Linked DNA regions of Oryctolagus cuniculus. The protein of the gene in region 2 interacts with the protein of the main gene of each other region in a pairwise test. Links are inferred from orthologs where the notes say so. Each region holds a gene or a part of one and is shown on either strand. Other genes may lie near its edges. The genes, in order: MAT2B, KPNA3, ERCC3 and TSSC4.

Region 1 (4,362 bases), on a different chromosome or scaffold from region 2:
AAAACCGTAGGTTGAGAAATTACATCCTTTTTGATCTAATTCCTTGTGGGTAAATGGACAAGATGACCAACACTCTTCCATATTTAAAGTTTTACAATTCTAAAATTTTCTATATTATCCTTACAACAAAGGGTCTGAATAGGATAAAAAGGGCTTCACTTACTTAAGTAACTTAACTGTTCGTCCTTTTCACACTTCTCCCTAGAGACAAGGGCACCTTTTGCCATCTATTTAACAGCAGAAACACGTTTTTTATTTCTTAGTTTGATCTTAAGTTAATCGTGGCTGCCAAATAGAATATGCAACACTCTGAAATTAAGAGATGCCAAACAAAAATGTCTCTAATTTTGTTTCTATATAAACAGAACTCTGCCTAAAGTTTTCTTTAGTACACTGTTTTGTTGGGTTTTGTATATAAATAGCTTAGGAATAAAAAGTTTCCTCTAAAAATTACTTTGGTTAATCATTCCTAGAATTTATTTTGGTCCTTCAAAACACAGGAATATCCAAACATTCCAAAAGACTCAGAATGAAAGAATAAAAAGTTGCCTAGGTCATCCAAACCACAATAAAAAATTCAAAATGCTTGTGTGAAAATTCTTCTTTCTCAATTTCTGTTATATTAAGTATACTCAACAAGTTTAAGGTACTCTAAATGTACCTGTCTCTTTTTGTATAAACTTAGTTGTATGGAATTCAACCACTTTAGGCAATCACATTTTTAGATACCAAAATTTTCTTGAAAATTATTGGACAAATCAATGTAGAGCTACTGTTCATATTGTGCTAAAAAATTTATATGAAATTGTACTCATAAAGATAATGGGAGACAAACGCTGTCCAAATGGTCCAACAGTGCTCTGGGACAGTGATTTCCACTTTAGCTCATTAACTATCAAAAACGTTCTAGCCAGGCCAGTGCTGTGGCATGACAGATAGCGCTGCCTGCCTGAGACCTGGCATCCTATATGGTTGCTGGTTCTTGTCCAATATGCTCCACTTCTGGCCCAGCTCCCTGCTAATGCTCTGGAAGAGCAGCAAAAGACAGTACAAGTGTTTGGGCCTCTGTTACCCACATGAGAGACCAAAACAAAACTCCTGGTTTCGGCCTGGCCAGTGCCTGACCCAGCATTGGCCATTGCGGCCATCTGAGGAGTCAATCAGTGGCTGGAAGATCTCTGTGTCTCCCCCTCTTAGTAACTCTAACTTTCCAAATGAATTAATTAAAATAAACTAAAAAAGAAGATTTCAAAAAATGTTTTAAAAGACAGTGGACTATCAGTAATATTTGGAAAGGAATGTTAATTTTAGTAGTATATTTTAAAAAACTTATAAATTTGGCAAAGTTTCATAGTCATTTTTTAAGTGGATTCTCACAAGATTCCCAGGAGGTAGACCTGGCCTTTAATAAACTTTAAGATTCCTTAATACCTAGGCAGGATTGTTCTAACTTCTACTGTCACCCTATCAGCCACCTCCACCAGCTGCTTCTCTTGACATTAATCCTCGGGCAGTCCTCATTCTTACAAGATGAGTTTTAACACTACGGGTTCTGAGAGCGTAGTATGTGTCTGAGCTCTTAGATCTATCCTTTTTAATGAAGGAAACCATTAAAAGCCATTTTCCCTTTACTGAACTTCTATTGTATAAGCAGATTAAGCTTTACACACACAAACACACAGAGAGCCATGCATGCGCATACATATGTAAACACTCTGTAAGAGATGAACTGGTACTGTTTGGGGCTCGCAGGAATACAGGTTAGACAGCTCATCTATCCTAACTCTACCTTAAAGAACCAAGACGATTTAAAAACACTGAATTCATTAAACTTTGAAAGCATAAAAAAAAGTGCATGTTTAAAACAACCATCTCATATCCAGAAGACATACAGGTCTGGACATTAGCAGTTATGGTCACAGCTGGATATATTCTGGATGCTGGAAGGCCTGAAATGCAATGGAGGTGCTGGATGTGGGGAGGACCTCATGGATGGAGCTCCCTAACACGCAGATAGTCTCCCTTCAATGCTACTGCTTTAGTGGTTCAAAGCCCAAGACAGTCGACCACGAATCCCTCGCTCCAACCTCACCGAATGAACTCGGGCAATTGTCTTATTCTGACTCCCTTCTATCGCCTATAAAATGTATCTTACAGCTATGAAGATTAAAATAATGGTTGCAAAATCCATAGCGTAGAGCTCTGCACAAACCAGGACTTCGGCAAGTTATCACTTCCAGCACTGTTACCTCCAAAGAGCTACCTTCCTTCGTCCTTTCTCAAAGCTAGAACTTGTAAAATCACGAACTAACAATGAAGAACCACAACGCAAACAACTGTAAAATCTCCTTCTTCGTTGGTGGGAGCAGAGACTGAGAACTCAAAAGTAAAACCTCGACCCAAAAGCCGCAGCGCTGCTGTGCGCCGAGGTAAACAAACTCGGTGGCGCCGCCCTCTACTCCAGGGCTGCGAGGGCGACGCCGAGACGACTCCCGGCCGGGGCGCTGATCCCGATGGGGTGCGCCTGGAAAACCGCCCCGAACCTCCCGGACCTGTTTCGTCTCCTCTGGGCTCCCAACCCCTACCCCGGTTCCCATGGAAGACCACCAAGGCAAACCCTCACCTCCACCAGCCGGCAGCTCCCAGGAACAAAGTGAATGGAAAGTTCTTTCTCCCGCCCCACCATACCCGCCGTCTTCACAACGCCGCCCGAGCGGCTGCCGCCTCCTACAGCCCAGGACTGCCGCGGGCCTCAACTAGATGCCCTCGGCCCGCCTCTTCTAGGCCGTAGCCGACCCCAGCTCGCCACTTCCGGCTTCCGCTGCCTTGGCTGCACCCTTTGATTGGCCACGCCCTGGATACGTCACAGAAAGCGGGCGGGCGCTCAGGGGACGCTCCCCAGCCCACGCGCCAAGTCTTAAAGTGATACACAAAACAAAGACGCTGAAGTTAAGCAAAGAACGCAAATGTTGTTTGTATACGTGCTTTTTCTTCTGTTTCGTTTTTTCTTCTGTTTCGTTTTTTCTTCTTAACTGGGGAAACATTGAATTGGATAACCTAGAGTCTTAACTTTTCAGACTAATACGCAGTGCATAAGAATCAACTGTACGTGTACTATACTAAAGTAGAATAAAGCATTTTTAAAGTCAGGGGAGGTGAGGGGGCAGGGAGGAAGCACAATAAAAATGGATCGTTAGACCCGTAGGCTGTTGAAAGCTTTAGAAAGAGGTAAAAATAAAATAAATAAAATAAAAATAAAAGTGTTATCTGAGTCACTCACACCTCAGCAACTTATTCGTCTTTCTGGGATGCTTCAAAAAAAGTATGTGTGAAATTTCGAAACTATGGCACCATATTTAACTAATTAAAAATAAAAAGGTGTAGGGGGAGAGAAATATGAAATCTCTGGGCACCTCTTCAAAGCAAACATTCTTGGACTTTGCCCATAATTAGAATGAGAAACTGGTGGCAGAACCAGGGACCTCCTTTTCGGTGGATCGAGCAGGAGTCCAGAGCACCCTGCGGGACGCACCGACTTCCAGCTGCAGCCTGCGGCTAAGCGAGCGCAGCCTGGGCGAGCGCCCACGGTTAAAGGAAAAACCAAGGGTAGGATGACATGCCGGGCGTTCTGCTGCCTGTATCGCCTTCTAAAAGTAAGGAGCGATAGCCCTGTGTGCTGTGACCAGCCTAGTACCCAAGTGACCTCTCTTACAGTCATTCAAAAATAGCAAGATGTCCCGCGCCCGCCGGTATGCCTCTGAAATTTACCCAGAAAAAAGTCCTCAGCTCATTAGGCTTAGAATTGGCCGAGCTTCCACGGAAGGGCTACGTTGTTCTTGTTTAGGGCCCCGGAATAATGAGATCTGTAAGTCGCCCACAAACGTGATCGCCGCTAGGATTTTCCTAAGAAGGCCTTATTTTCATAACCACCGTCTAATAAACCAAAAATGGTAGAGACTTTGGAAAAATTTAACTACGCCAGAGCCCGTGACTTTTCCTTTCTACCCAACCCCCAACTAAGAATTCCTTATTCACATCAACAAAAAAGTTTTCTTTGAAACAGTACAGGAGCCTCCTTTTCTATTGTTTTTTTTAAGCTGGATCTTTGATGATCAAAGATTTAGCATTATTTAGGGAATCATTGAGAGAGCCCAGGGCACTAAAGTAGCATAATCAACAGACAACAAAGAGAAGGGCAAGATAAAGGAGGAAGGGGAACCGGACCCAAGATCTTCTTAATCCTTCTTGTTTAAAAACCGGGAATTCTGTTTTCAGTTTCTATTTGCTAGGTATAATGCAAAGAGTCTTTCTAGAGAAATAAAAAGTGCTCAACATGAAGAGAATTTATGGACAAGCACATAC
Region 2 (2,657 bases):
GTATTATGCATCATACCAAAGTGTCTTGATCCACAGCGCACCATTTTCCAAAGGAGTATCAGTGGGCAGCTGACATGCCACCACTATGGAATATTCTAAACTGGAGACTGCAGTTGTCAGCATGTGGCACCAGGGAACAAGGAAAAATAGGGTAGTTGAGATTGTTAAGGAGAATTCTAAAACAGTTTAGGAAATCATGCATATGCATTTACAGTCCATGTGAGAGTGACTTTTGGCAACTGCAAAGTGACTGAGACATGGCTTGCTTTAGAAGCATCAAAAGAAGAGGCATGTTGTGTTTTTGGAGCCTTTTGCTGCTGTTGTTCTTATCGTTTGGTAGCCATCTGGTGGTGCTTCGTATTGGATGTGGGAAAGATGCTGCACTCAAACGAACTTAAAAATTAAATTCTTTTGTTTGAAGGTTGGCTGTTGGGTCAAAATTGTAAGTACCTCCTTGTGTTGCTTCAGGAATGAGGCTAGGATCTTCATCAATCTATAAAAAGCAAGAACAAATGCCCTTATTATGTTATGATACCAAACCATTATTGTATAAACCGAACTGAGTTTTTACCCCCTAGGAATGAATTTTCTAAGAATGCTTTAACCACATGAACATACTTGGGTAAACCAGTAATAATTCTGTTAAGAAACATAACAACTCAAAAGTGAACACACATTTAAAAACTGCCTCTTTCTTCAGTTCTTGTATCTCTGTAGATTTATTTAACCAATTTATACATTATTTGTATAATCTCTATTTATTCCCAGTTAATAGACTCTAAATGCAACAAGAATTGCTTCTTTTTAAAATTTATTTATAAAGGGAACAGATTTCATATATGCGGCTTAAGAATGTAATGATACTTCCCACTCTCCTTCCTTTCTTATTTTCCTTTTAATTTTTGTGAGATATACTTTCAATTTACTTTATAATCACAAGCTTAATCCTCCACTAAATAAAGAATTCAAAAAGTAGTAAGTAGAAAAACCCCTGAAGAACTTTCTATAATTTTATCTTTTTTTTTTTGACAGGCAGAGTGGGCAGTGAGACAGAGAGAAAGGTCTTCCTTTACCGTTGGTTCACCCTCCAATGGCCGCTGCGGCTGGTGCACCGCACTGATCCGGAGCCAGGAGCCAGGTGCCAGGTGCTTCTCCTGGTCTCCCATGCAGGTGCAGGGCCCAAGGACTTGAGCCATCCTCCACTGCCCTCCCCAGCCACAGCAGAGAGCTGGACTGGAAGAGGGGCAGCCGAGACAGAATCCAGCGCCCCGACCGGGACTAGAACCTGGTGTGCCGGTGGCGCCAGCCTATAATTTTATCTTAAAATGAACTTTCAAAGTACTTAAAAGAAGTTACTGGTTGGAGTATTTAATAGTATATAGTATAAATGTAAGTCATAAGTATATATACATAGAATATAAATTTAAGAAAACTTACGTTTCCTTAAATAAAAAGAAAACTAAATTCACAGAGGTTCAAATTTATATGCAGACATATTTTAATATATACTTACATCATCACCAGAGAAATACTGATCTATGATTTCAAATGCTAATTTATAAATGTCTTCATTTTCATGTTGCTGCAAAACTTCAATTTTCTCCAAACCTTATAAAAATAATTAAAGAGACAATGATCAAAACTGTGCTCATTTTAATCATGGAAAATACTAAGGAATTCTGGACACCCCTATACCCCACAAAAGATGACAGTTTGTCATTAGAAAAACAAAACAGGTAAAAACCTGAGCTTCTCTGGTTGGGGACCAGTACGCCACTAATTCCTTCTTCCTTAGAAGCTCTTGAGTTACCCTGGTCCCTGAGGCAGGCAGTCTGAAAAACTCAAACCCTCCATTTGACAGATGAAAGTGTGGCACACAGATGTCAACAGACTTAGGTTATAGGGAAGATTAGTGACAGTAAGATCTGAAGTCTTTCCAGACTGCTATAATGTCATCATACTATGTCATAAAGTAATTTGGGTCTTCCTCTTTACTTTCTGAATGCTATTACTTAAAAAAAAAAAAATAAAAGCATTTTAGAAACTCAAAAACTGGTACAAAAAGAAGAAAAGAGTTTTAAATTTTAAAAACTTCTTTTTAAAAAAAGTAAATAGGGTTCTTATGACCTAGTTACAATAAAACTTGGGAAATAATTTTTAGACCAATAATGACAGAATGGTTTCATATATATTTCCAATACACTTAACTCCATGCATCAGAAGCTGAAGTTTATACATTTAAAACTTTAGCAGTATTCTTCCTTGAACTGTCTTTTTTACTAGGTTATAGCTGTATTTTCCCCATTTACATAGTATTATACAAACCAGAAAAAAGGGAAAATATTTGTCAAAGATAATGGATGTAAAGTATATCATAAAATCCTAAATAAATGTATCCTAATTATTATTCTCACAGAAAGAAGCAACATCATAAAACAGTAACAAACAGTGAATTAATATGTAAGAAGAAATGGATTTCAACTTTGCTTCTATTAACTATACATTTCTGTCACCTTGGACAAGACTTAACATTCTTGGAATAATTTCTTCCTGCTCTAAAGAGCACTATCTGTACTAAATATTCCAGGATGCAATTGTTTTCTGTTCAAAAATGGATAGAATATTCCTACAAAGCAGTCAGTAAAATGTAAAATACA
Region 3 (3,529 bases), on a different chromosome or scaffold from region 2:
CTCTTTCCTTCCTTTCCAGGACTCTTCATCCATGTCACAAATAAAGGCCTCTGGGACACTAAATCCTGCCATAAACTCAGTATATGTGTTAACAGGAAGGAAACCAAATGCCTCAGCCAATGAGAGTTGGTGAAAGCTTTAAAATTCCCCACTACTCACTGGCTGATTCGCAGTAAGAGGGCCCTGAGGCCTGGAGTCGCAGGGTGTAACAGCTGATTAAAGGGAGAGCTCTTCCAGCCATGTGGAGGGGCACCCCCTGAGAAAGTGACCCCAAGACGCTCAGACTCAGTGCCAGCTGACACTGCCCCAGTAACTCATGCACACTCCAAGAGAGTCTGCAGCAAGGCCTCTGATCCCAGTGCCCACCACCTGCCTGTGGGCTGTCCCAGACTGCTGCTGACAGTCCCCACTTCTCCTGCAGGCCGGGGTACCCAAAAGGCCTTGGTCCTGGTTTCAGCAGAGGCCACACAGATACCAACCTTGAAGCTATAACCCTGATCTACCAAGAACCTCTGGCGTTTGGTAGAGTAAGCCATTTCCTGTGTGTCCTGGGACACCAGCGAGTAGAAGAAGGCATTGTACTCCTCTGCGACCATGCCTGTGGGGAGAAGGTGAGAGAAGTCAGGAAAACAACAGGAGCCACTAGAAGGCCGCAGCACAGAGGCTCTTGGGCAGCACTGGCGTGGGAAGCTCGGCAGGCAGCCACGGTCACCTCGACCCTGCACACGACTCCATCACAATGGCAGCCTCTCATGCTAAGGACACCATGAAGATGGAGAAAAGACAACCTGCAAAGTACACATCCGGTACGGGACCTGCCTGTACTTGTTCTAGACTACGTCAAGAATTGTGAAAACTCAACAAGACCACTCACTCAACTCTAACGCGGGCAAAGCATGTAAAGACATTTCTCCAGTGACAGTGTGCAAATGGCCAATGGCACGGGAAAGACATCAGCACCACAGATCATCAGGGAGAGGCAAGCAAACACATGTGGCCTGTCATCTACTCCCACTTCCACAGTAGAGGTAAAAAGCAAGACATATTCCTGTGGTCAAGCATGAGACTGGAACCGTCATCTACTTCTGGTGAGAATGTAAAATGTGGCAGTTGCTCTGGAAAACAGCCTGGCAGTTCACCAAAACGCTGAGTTAACACAGTTACCAGCACATGACCAGGCAACTTCTCTCCTAGGCACACTCATATAAGCAAGACCAAGAAAACTAAAGATCTATCCACAGAGATTTGCATTATTCTAAAATCAAAGAGTAGAAATGGCCTAAAAGTCAAGATGAATGGATAAAATGTGGTATGTCCACACAGAATATTATGTGGCAATAAAAATTATAGGGGAGGCGGGCGCCGCGGCTCACTAGGCTAATCCTCCGCCTTGCGGCGCCGGCACACCGGGTTCTAGTCCCGGTCGGGGCGCTGGATTCTGTCCCGGTTGCCCCTCTTCCAGGCCAGCTCTCTGCTGTGGCCAGGGAGTGCAGTGGAGGATGGCCCAGGTGCTTGGGCCCTGCACCCCATGGGAGACCAGGATAGGCACCTGGCTCCTGCCATCGGATCAGCGCGGTGCGCTGGCCATAGCGTGCCGGCCGCGGCGGCCAGTGGAGGGTGAACCAGCGGCAAAGGAAGACCTTTCTCTCTGTCTCTCTCTCCCACTGTCCACTCTGCCTGTCCAAAAAAAAATAAAGGGGGGGGGGGGGGGGACAGGCATTTAGTCTGCCAGCTAAGACACTGTGTCCCATACCAGACTATCTGGGTTCCAGGCCCAGCTCTGACTCCTCCCTTCAATTTCCTGCTGATGCAGACTCTGAGAGGCAGCAGTCAGCAATCAAGTACCTGGGTTCCTGCCATACATGTGGGAGACCGAAACTGTGTTCCCAGCTTCTGGTTCCAGCCCTGGCCCAGCTCCAGCCTTTGCAGGCATTTGGGGAGTGAACCAGTGGACAGGAGGGTGCTCTTTCTCTCAAATAAGCAAAAAACAAAGAATGAGATACTGGCACAATATGGGTAGTCCATTACGCTGAGCAAAAGCAGCAAGTCACAGGGGCCCCAATCTGTACGCCTCTACTTCCAAACTGTCCAGACAGCCATGAAGACAGGTGGGCAGGTCCCTGGGCCTGGGGGTGCAGAGGAATGGGAAACAAGGAATGACTACTGAATAGCAGGATTCCTTTCAGGGGGTGAGGAAAATATCCTAAAGATTGGGGTAATGGTTACACTTTCAAAATACACTGAAAACCACTGAACCGTATACTCAAAATGAAGCAATTGTATAATCTCTGAATTTTATCTCAACAAAACTGCTGGGGAAAAAAACAGCTCAGAGAGGAAAGCCTCTGTAACAGGGACACTTATCACAGAAACTAGGACAGAATATACCTGTCTTTCAGGAAAATCTGAACACTTTTACTTTCACGGTTCAAATGTCATCAGATAGAGCATGCGTACATTGCTGCTGTATCAACTGCTTCCTACAGCTCACAGTGGCAAATAGAGGGACCGGATGTCTGATCTCAGGAGATACTGTGTTGAGGGGCCAGCGCTCTGACGTGGTAGGCTAAGCCTCCGCCTGTGGTGCTGGCATTCCATGTGTGTGCAGTTCACGTCCCTGATGCTCCTCTTCCAATCCAGCTTCCTGCTGATGGCTTGGGAAAGCAGTGGAAGATGGCCCAGGTGCTTGGGCCCCCGCATCCACTGGGAGACGTGGGAGAGGCTTCTGGCTTCGGATTGGCACAGCTCTGGCCTTGTGGCCACTGGGAAGTGAACCAGCACATGGGAGACCTCTTTCTGTCTCTCTTATACTATTTTACTCAACTACCTCTCAAATAAATAAATCTTTAGGAAAAAAAAAGGATACTTGGAGTAAGAAAATGTAATTCTAATCAAATTCAAAGGAGCTTTCAAATCAGATTTGCTTCTGTTTTAAGAAGATTAAGGAGCAAGCAATGAATTGGCTGCACACCTGTCAGCAGTGACATCCTGACAGTTTATAAACAACTGTGCACTGGGCAGCCAGCTGTAGCCCATGCTATGTAAGCTCACCCTCCCATCAATCCTGCAAGGTAAGATGGTTACCCCTACTCTGATGTGAAAAACCAAGGCTCAGAGGAAATGACTTGCCCAAGGTCACAAAGCAGATCTGGTACCCAAATCCATGCTATTTCCACTTTTAGCCCTGTTTCCATTTCAGGTATAATCCTGGAGCTGTCTCCTAGAAACATCTGAGTAAGGTACAGATTCAAGATATACCCACTAACCTTCCTGTTTTCAAACATCCCAATAGTCCAGATGCCTCTTCAGATAAGCCTGGCTCTTTGGTCCCAGCAGGAGAGATGGGGCCATCTCCTGGCAGCAGTCAGTCTCTGAAGCGCCTCCCCACGGCAGTCTGGGCACTGTTACTATAGTTACTGAGTGCAGGAAGCCTGCCCCTCCCCAGTCAAAACCTTTGCAACAGTGCCACTGTACTTGGTTGCTTGCCAGCTCCACCCAGGCTCTTCACAGGTAAAGAGTGCTGTGCCAT
Region 4 (4,046 bases), on a different chromosome or scaffold from region 2:
AAGGGAGTGGGGGACAGACATGCTCGCTCCGTGGGCCTCCCCCAGCAGACCTGGGGAACCCACCCTTTGTCCCCCATGGCCCATGCTGGGCTGGAGTCCTGGCACAAGACCCCAGATGCCGGCTCTGCACCCCGTCCTGACAGTCTGGGTGGGGCACAGCCAGAGGCGAGCGTGGGCACGGCTACAGGACCACTCAGGCCTGTCCGGCACCATGCTGGACTCCTGTGGCCTGACCCCAGCCCAGGGGGACCCCTCAGCCCCTCCAGGCCGGCACTGTGCGCAGCAGGTAAAGCCGCCTCCTGTATGTGTGGTTCCAGTCCCGGCTGCTCCACTCTGACCCAACTCCCTGCCGCTGCAGCTGGGAGAGCAGCAGACGGCCCCTGTGCCACTGCGGCTCTCTGGGGAGTGGACCAGTGCACGCAAGACCTCTCTATCTTTCAAAATTAAAAGCAAACAAAAACCCAGAGAAGCGGAACACTGGGGCCGTCACTCTGCAGGGTCCGAGCGGGGCTGGGGGCCCAGGGGGAGTGAGACGACAGACAGGACCCGAGGACACCCAACACCTTTATTGTCACCCATGGAGCCCCGGGCCCCCGGCCGCGGCCCGGCCCGCTCACCCCTCAGCCGCTGGGCCCTCGCAGCCGCTGCCCCTGTTCCGGAAGTGCTCCCGGCTCCGCTTCCTGGCGCCGTGGAAGCCGACGGCGTCCAGGCCGGGGGGCCCTGGCGAGGCCCCTCTGTGGGCAGCCGCGGGGGACGCGTCTTCCTCCTGCAGGCCGCCGGGGGTGCCGCCCCTCTCCTCGGCCTCTGGGCTCCCGGGCCCGGCCAGGTGGGGCAGCTCCACCGCCTCGGTCCCCGGGAGGCCCCTGCCCGGCTGCGCGCCCTGCCCCAGGCCCCTCTTCCTCTCGGGCCTGGGCTCGCGGGCTCGGGCCGGTCTGGTGAAGACCACCCTGCCCTCCCCGCAGCTGGAGGAGTCCTGGTTGAAGGCGGGCGCGCAGGCGGCGGGGGCGGCCGGGCCCCGCGCGCCCAGGAAGGCCAGCGCCGCCGCCCGGTTGCTCTGCTCGCTGGCCTCGGCCACGTCCTCGAGGCTGTACCTGGTCCAGCGCTCCGGGTGCGCCACGTAGTCGGGGACACGCGGGCCCCTGGGGGCGCCGGCCGCCCCCTCCAGGCCGTCAAAGACGCTGTGGCTGCGCCGGGAGAAGGCGGAGCTCGTGCCCCGGAGGCAGAACGGCTGGGCCGCAGGGGCGGGGGGCGCCGGGGGCGGCGAGGGGGGCTCGGAGTCCTCTGAGTCCGCGGGCAGGTCTACACACGGCGCGGCCGCCTCGGCACCGCCAGAGCTGAGGTCCGAGTCCGAGTCCGAGCCCGAGTCGCTGGGGAAGTCGGCGTCGTCGGGGGGCGCGGCGTCCCCCTCGGCCCCCGCCTGGGCCATGGCCCCGTCCCACGGCACCTGCGGGGAAGCAGCCCGCGGGGAGGGGGCAGCTCAGGGTCGCCGGCCCACGCGGCCGCAGCAGCGGGCCCCTCCCCGGCCCGGCTCTCACCTCCCCCGTCCGCCCACGGAGGTCCTCGGTGGCCCCGGCGTGGGCTCCTCGGTGGCCTCGGCTCCGCTGCTCAGACGGGGCTGGGTGAGGGGCGGGGGACAGAGCCCGCGTCAGAGCGCGGGGCCGGCCGCAAGCTGCCTGGGACGAGGCGGAGCCCAGGGCTGGGCCCCAGGGCCCGGGCCGCGGCCACCCCGGCGGGGTCGGGCTCGCGAGCGCGCTCAAGGGTCAGCTCGAGCGGCCTTGCTGGGCAGAGGCCGCCCCCGCGGCCCCGGACACGACCCCCACCCGCGCTCCCGAGGGGCTGGCTGCAGGACAGCCCGGGCGCACCCTCCACACGGCGCTCCCCGCCTCGGGCCGACCCAGGCGCGGCGCAGCACCTCCTCCCGCGGAGCAGCCGCAGGAGGAGCGCTGGGCCCAGCAGGGACCGCGGCGAGCGCGCCCTGGGCTGGGGAGGCCGGGATCCCGCGACCGGGCCGAGGGGCAGCGGCTCTAGCTGCCTCCGGCCGCCTCTGCCGCGGAGCAGAGCACACCTTCGCCGTGTCAGGGCGGCCGCGCAGAGGGCCCTCCCGGACTTACCGGCTCCTCGTGCCGGCCGCCTTCATTCGGGTTCCCCGCCGGCCGCGCTCAGCCTTTTGGGAAACCGAGTCCCCCGCTAGCCGCGCACTGTGGCCTCCGCGACCGAAGAACTACATCTCCCATAAGCCACCGGGCCTCAGCTCCCGAGCCCTGACGGGACGTGTGCCCCAGTGCGCATGCGCCCACGCCCTTCTCCTTACACCTCCAAGCCCTGCGCCAGGAGCGGGTTCCGGAAACGGAAAAGGCCTAGCGTTGACACGGAGGAAGGGGCGGAGCCAACCGCCACTCCCAGAATGCTCGACTAACGGCGAGGCGCAGGCCTCTCGGAGTTTTAGTGCCACCTACCGGGAGGTGCGGAGACAGCAGCCGACGTAGACAGGAAGTGCGTCATCGCGCACGGTGGAGCAGAAGCCCTTGCCCGCACTTCCGGCCTTCCGAAAGCGGAAGTCGCTGCCCCTTCCCGGGTCCATCCGTCAATGCCCGGGGCGGGCCTGGCAGCCACTGAGCTTGTGGGCTGCGCTGGACGTCGGGAGCCTCTGACGATGTTTCTCCGGTTCCCCGGCCCTCAGGGACAGGCGCGCGGAGCGCTGCCCAGCGGCCCAGGCAGCCGGGGCTGGGCGTGGCCATCCTGGGCAGGTCCGGCCCCGGGCTCTCCCAGACAGGCCTCTCGCTGGCCACCAGGCCCCAAGTGGGCAGCGCCTTTTGCCCCCGTTTCTGCTGGGGCTGCTCGGTGCCCGCCAGACCCCAGCTCCTGAGTCCCTCTCCTGCGGGGGCCTGCTGTCCTGGCACTCACGGGGAGACCGGCGTCTAAGGACCCCGGGGGGGCCAGCCGCGGACAGCAGGCGGGTCATGCACGGCCCAGGCACCTCTGGGACACCCACCCTGTCCTGGCAGCCCCGGGGCCCCAGGCCCTGCACGTCCAGAGGCCAGCCTGGGCCAGCACGGCCCGGGGGGAGTGGAGGGGACTCCTCGCTGCACCTAGTTCTCCCAGGCAACCCTGTCCCCCAGGGGCTGGGAGCAGCAGGAGCCCCCGCCCTCCGCAGGGCCAGCCTCAGTCCTCCCTGGCTGCTGTCCAGGCCGAGGCGGGGCCTTTGCTCTGGCTGCTCCGAGATGCTGCTGAGGCCCGGGGGGCCACCCACGTCTCAGCAGACCTGGGGCCTGCTGCCCGCAGGGAGCCCGGAGCCCGGCCGCCCCCTCCCGCAGCCCGGTGTGCCCCAGGGGCGGTCACCCGCGGAACGCTCCCTGGGTCCTGGTCCCGTCCGCTCCGCGCGGGCTCGGCACAGTCCAGACCCCTCTGTCCCCAGCGCCCCACCCACTGAGACCCCACCGGCCAGGACCGGCGGCCAGCGCGTTAGCATGCCCGATGTCTCCTCCTTTATTACAGACTGTGTCCAGCTGCGGGCGTTACAGTTGAAGGTGACGTTAGAAAGGACAGGTGCTCCCGGAACAGGCAGGAAAGCAACAGGATTAAGAAGGCCCGGCCCCCCTCGGCAGGTGCCCCTGGCACGCGGCGTCAGCCACAGGGGCTCCGGGGGAGACGCAGAGCCCGGAGAGCCGGCAGCTGCGTGCGGAGCGAGCGGGGTGGCTCTGTACAGGCGGCGGGGGCGGCGGGGGCAGCGCGGCCTCAGTACACGGAGCTGTTCCTGATGCCGCAGCACAGCACCATGCTCAGAATCATCTCGAAGATCTGGCGGGAGGGGGGCGGTCAGCGGGGGCCGGCGGGGCGGGGCGGCCCCCCCCCCCCCGCCCGCCTGCCCGCTCACCATGATCACGGCCACCACGATGGCCGCGATGCCGATGAGGTACAGCTTCCCCGAGAACAGCTCGTCAATCTTCTGGTGGCAGTCCTCCTGCGGGGAGGGCAACCTCAGCTCCCACCTGCCCTGGCGGCACCCCGGAGGGCCCAGCTAGGCGGCCTCTGCCCACGCGGGGGAG

What was found.
Region 1: the proteins of KPNA3 (region 2) and MAT2B interact in binary tests that used the Homo sapiens proteins (3 or more experiments, as listed by UniProt). The two-hybrid records come from large-scale screens. The link is inferred for Oryctolagus cuniculus from reciprocal best matches to the Homo sapiens genes KPNA3 and MAT2B.
Region 3: the proteins of KPNA3 (region 2) and ERCC3 interact in binary tests that used the Homo sapiens proteins (3 or more experiments, as listed by UniProt). The link is inferred for Oryctolagus cuniculus from reciprocal best matches to the Homo sapiens genes KPNA3 and ERCC3.
Region 4: the proteins of KPNA3 (region 2) and TSSC4 interact in binary tests that used the Homo sapiens proteins (3 or more experiments, as listed by UniProt). The two-hybrid records come from large-scale screens. The link is inferred for Oryctolagus cuniculus from reciprocal best matches to the Homo sapiens genes KPNA3 and TSSC4.

Annotation. Positions count from the first base shown.
Region 1 is NC_091437.1:50,261,383-50,265,744, reverse strand, and holds the start of MAT2B (methionine adenosyltransferase 2 subunit beta), read right to left. Parts: upstream 2,861-4,362; 5' UTR 2,687-2,860; coding exon 2,624-2,686; intron 1-2,623.
Region 2 is NC_091440.1:69,007,206-69,009,862, forward strand, and holds part of KPNA3 (importin subunit alpha-4), read right to left. Parts: intron 1,609-2,657; coding exon 1,514-1,608; intron 494-1,513; coding exon 395-493; 3' UTR 1-394. UniProt on the Homo sapiens protein: Functions in nuclear protein import as an adapter protein for nuclear receptor KPNB1. Binds specifically and directly to substrates containing either a simple or bipartite NLS motif.
Region 3 is NC_091434.1:122,308,098-122,311,626, reverse strand, and holds part of ERCC3 (general transcription and DNA repair factor IIH helicase/translocase subunit XPB), read right to left. Parts: intron 599-3,529; coding exon 480-598; intron 1-479. UniProt on the Homo sapiens protein: ATP-dependent 3'-5' DNA helicase/translocase. Binds dsDNA rather than ssDNA, unzipping it in a translocase rather than classical helicase activity. Component of the general transcription and DNA repair factor IIH (TFIIH) core complex.
Region 4 is NC_091432.1:1,158,971-1,163,016, forward strand, and holds TSSC4 (U5 small nuclear ribonucleoprotein TSSC4), read right to left. Parts: upstream 2,589-4,046; 5' UTR 2,503-2,588; coding exon 2,457-2,502; exon of another isoform or gene 1,616-2,456; coding exon 1,536-1,615; exon of another isoform or gene 1,445-1,535; coding exon 614-1,444; 3' UTR 547-613; downstream 1-546. Other genes in the region: CD81 antigen, read right to left, coding at 3,736-3,798, 3,875-3,961. UniProt on the Homo sapiens protein: Protein associated with the U5 snRNP, during its maturation and its post-splicing recycling and which is required for spliceosomal tri-snRNP complex assembly in the nucleus.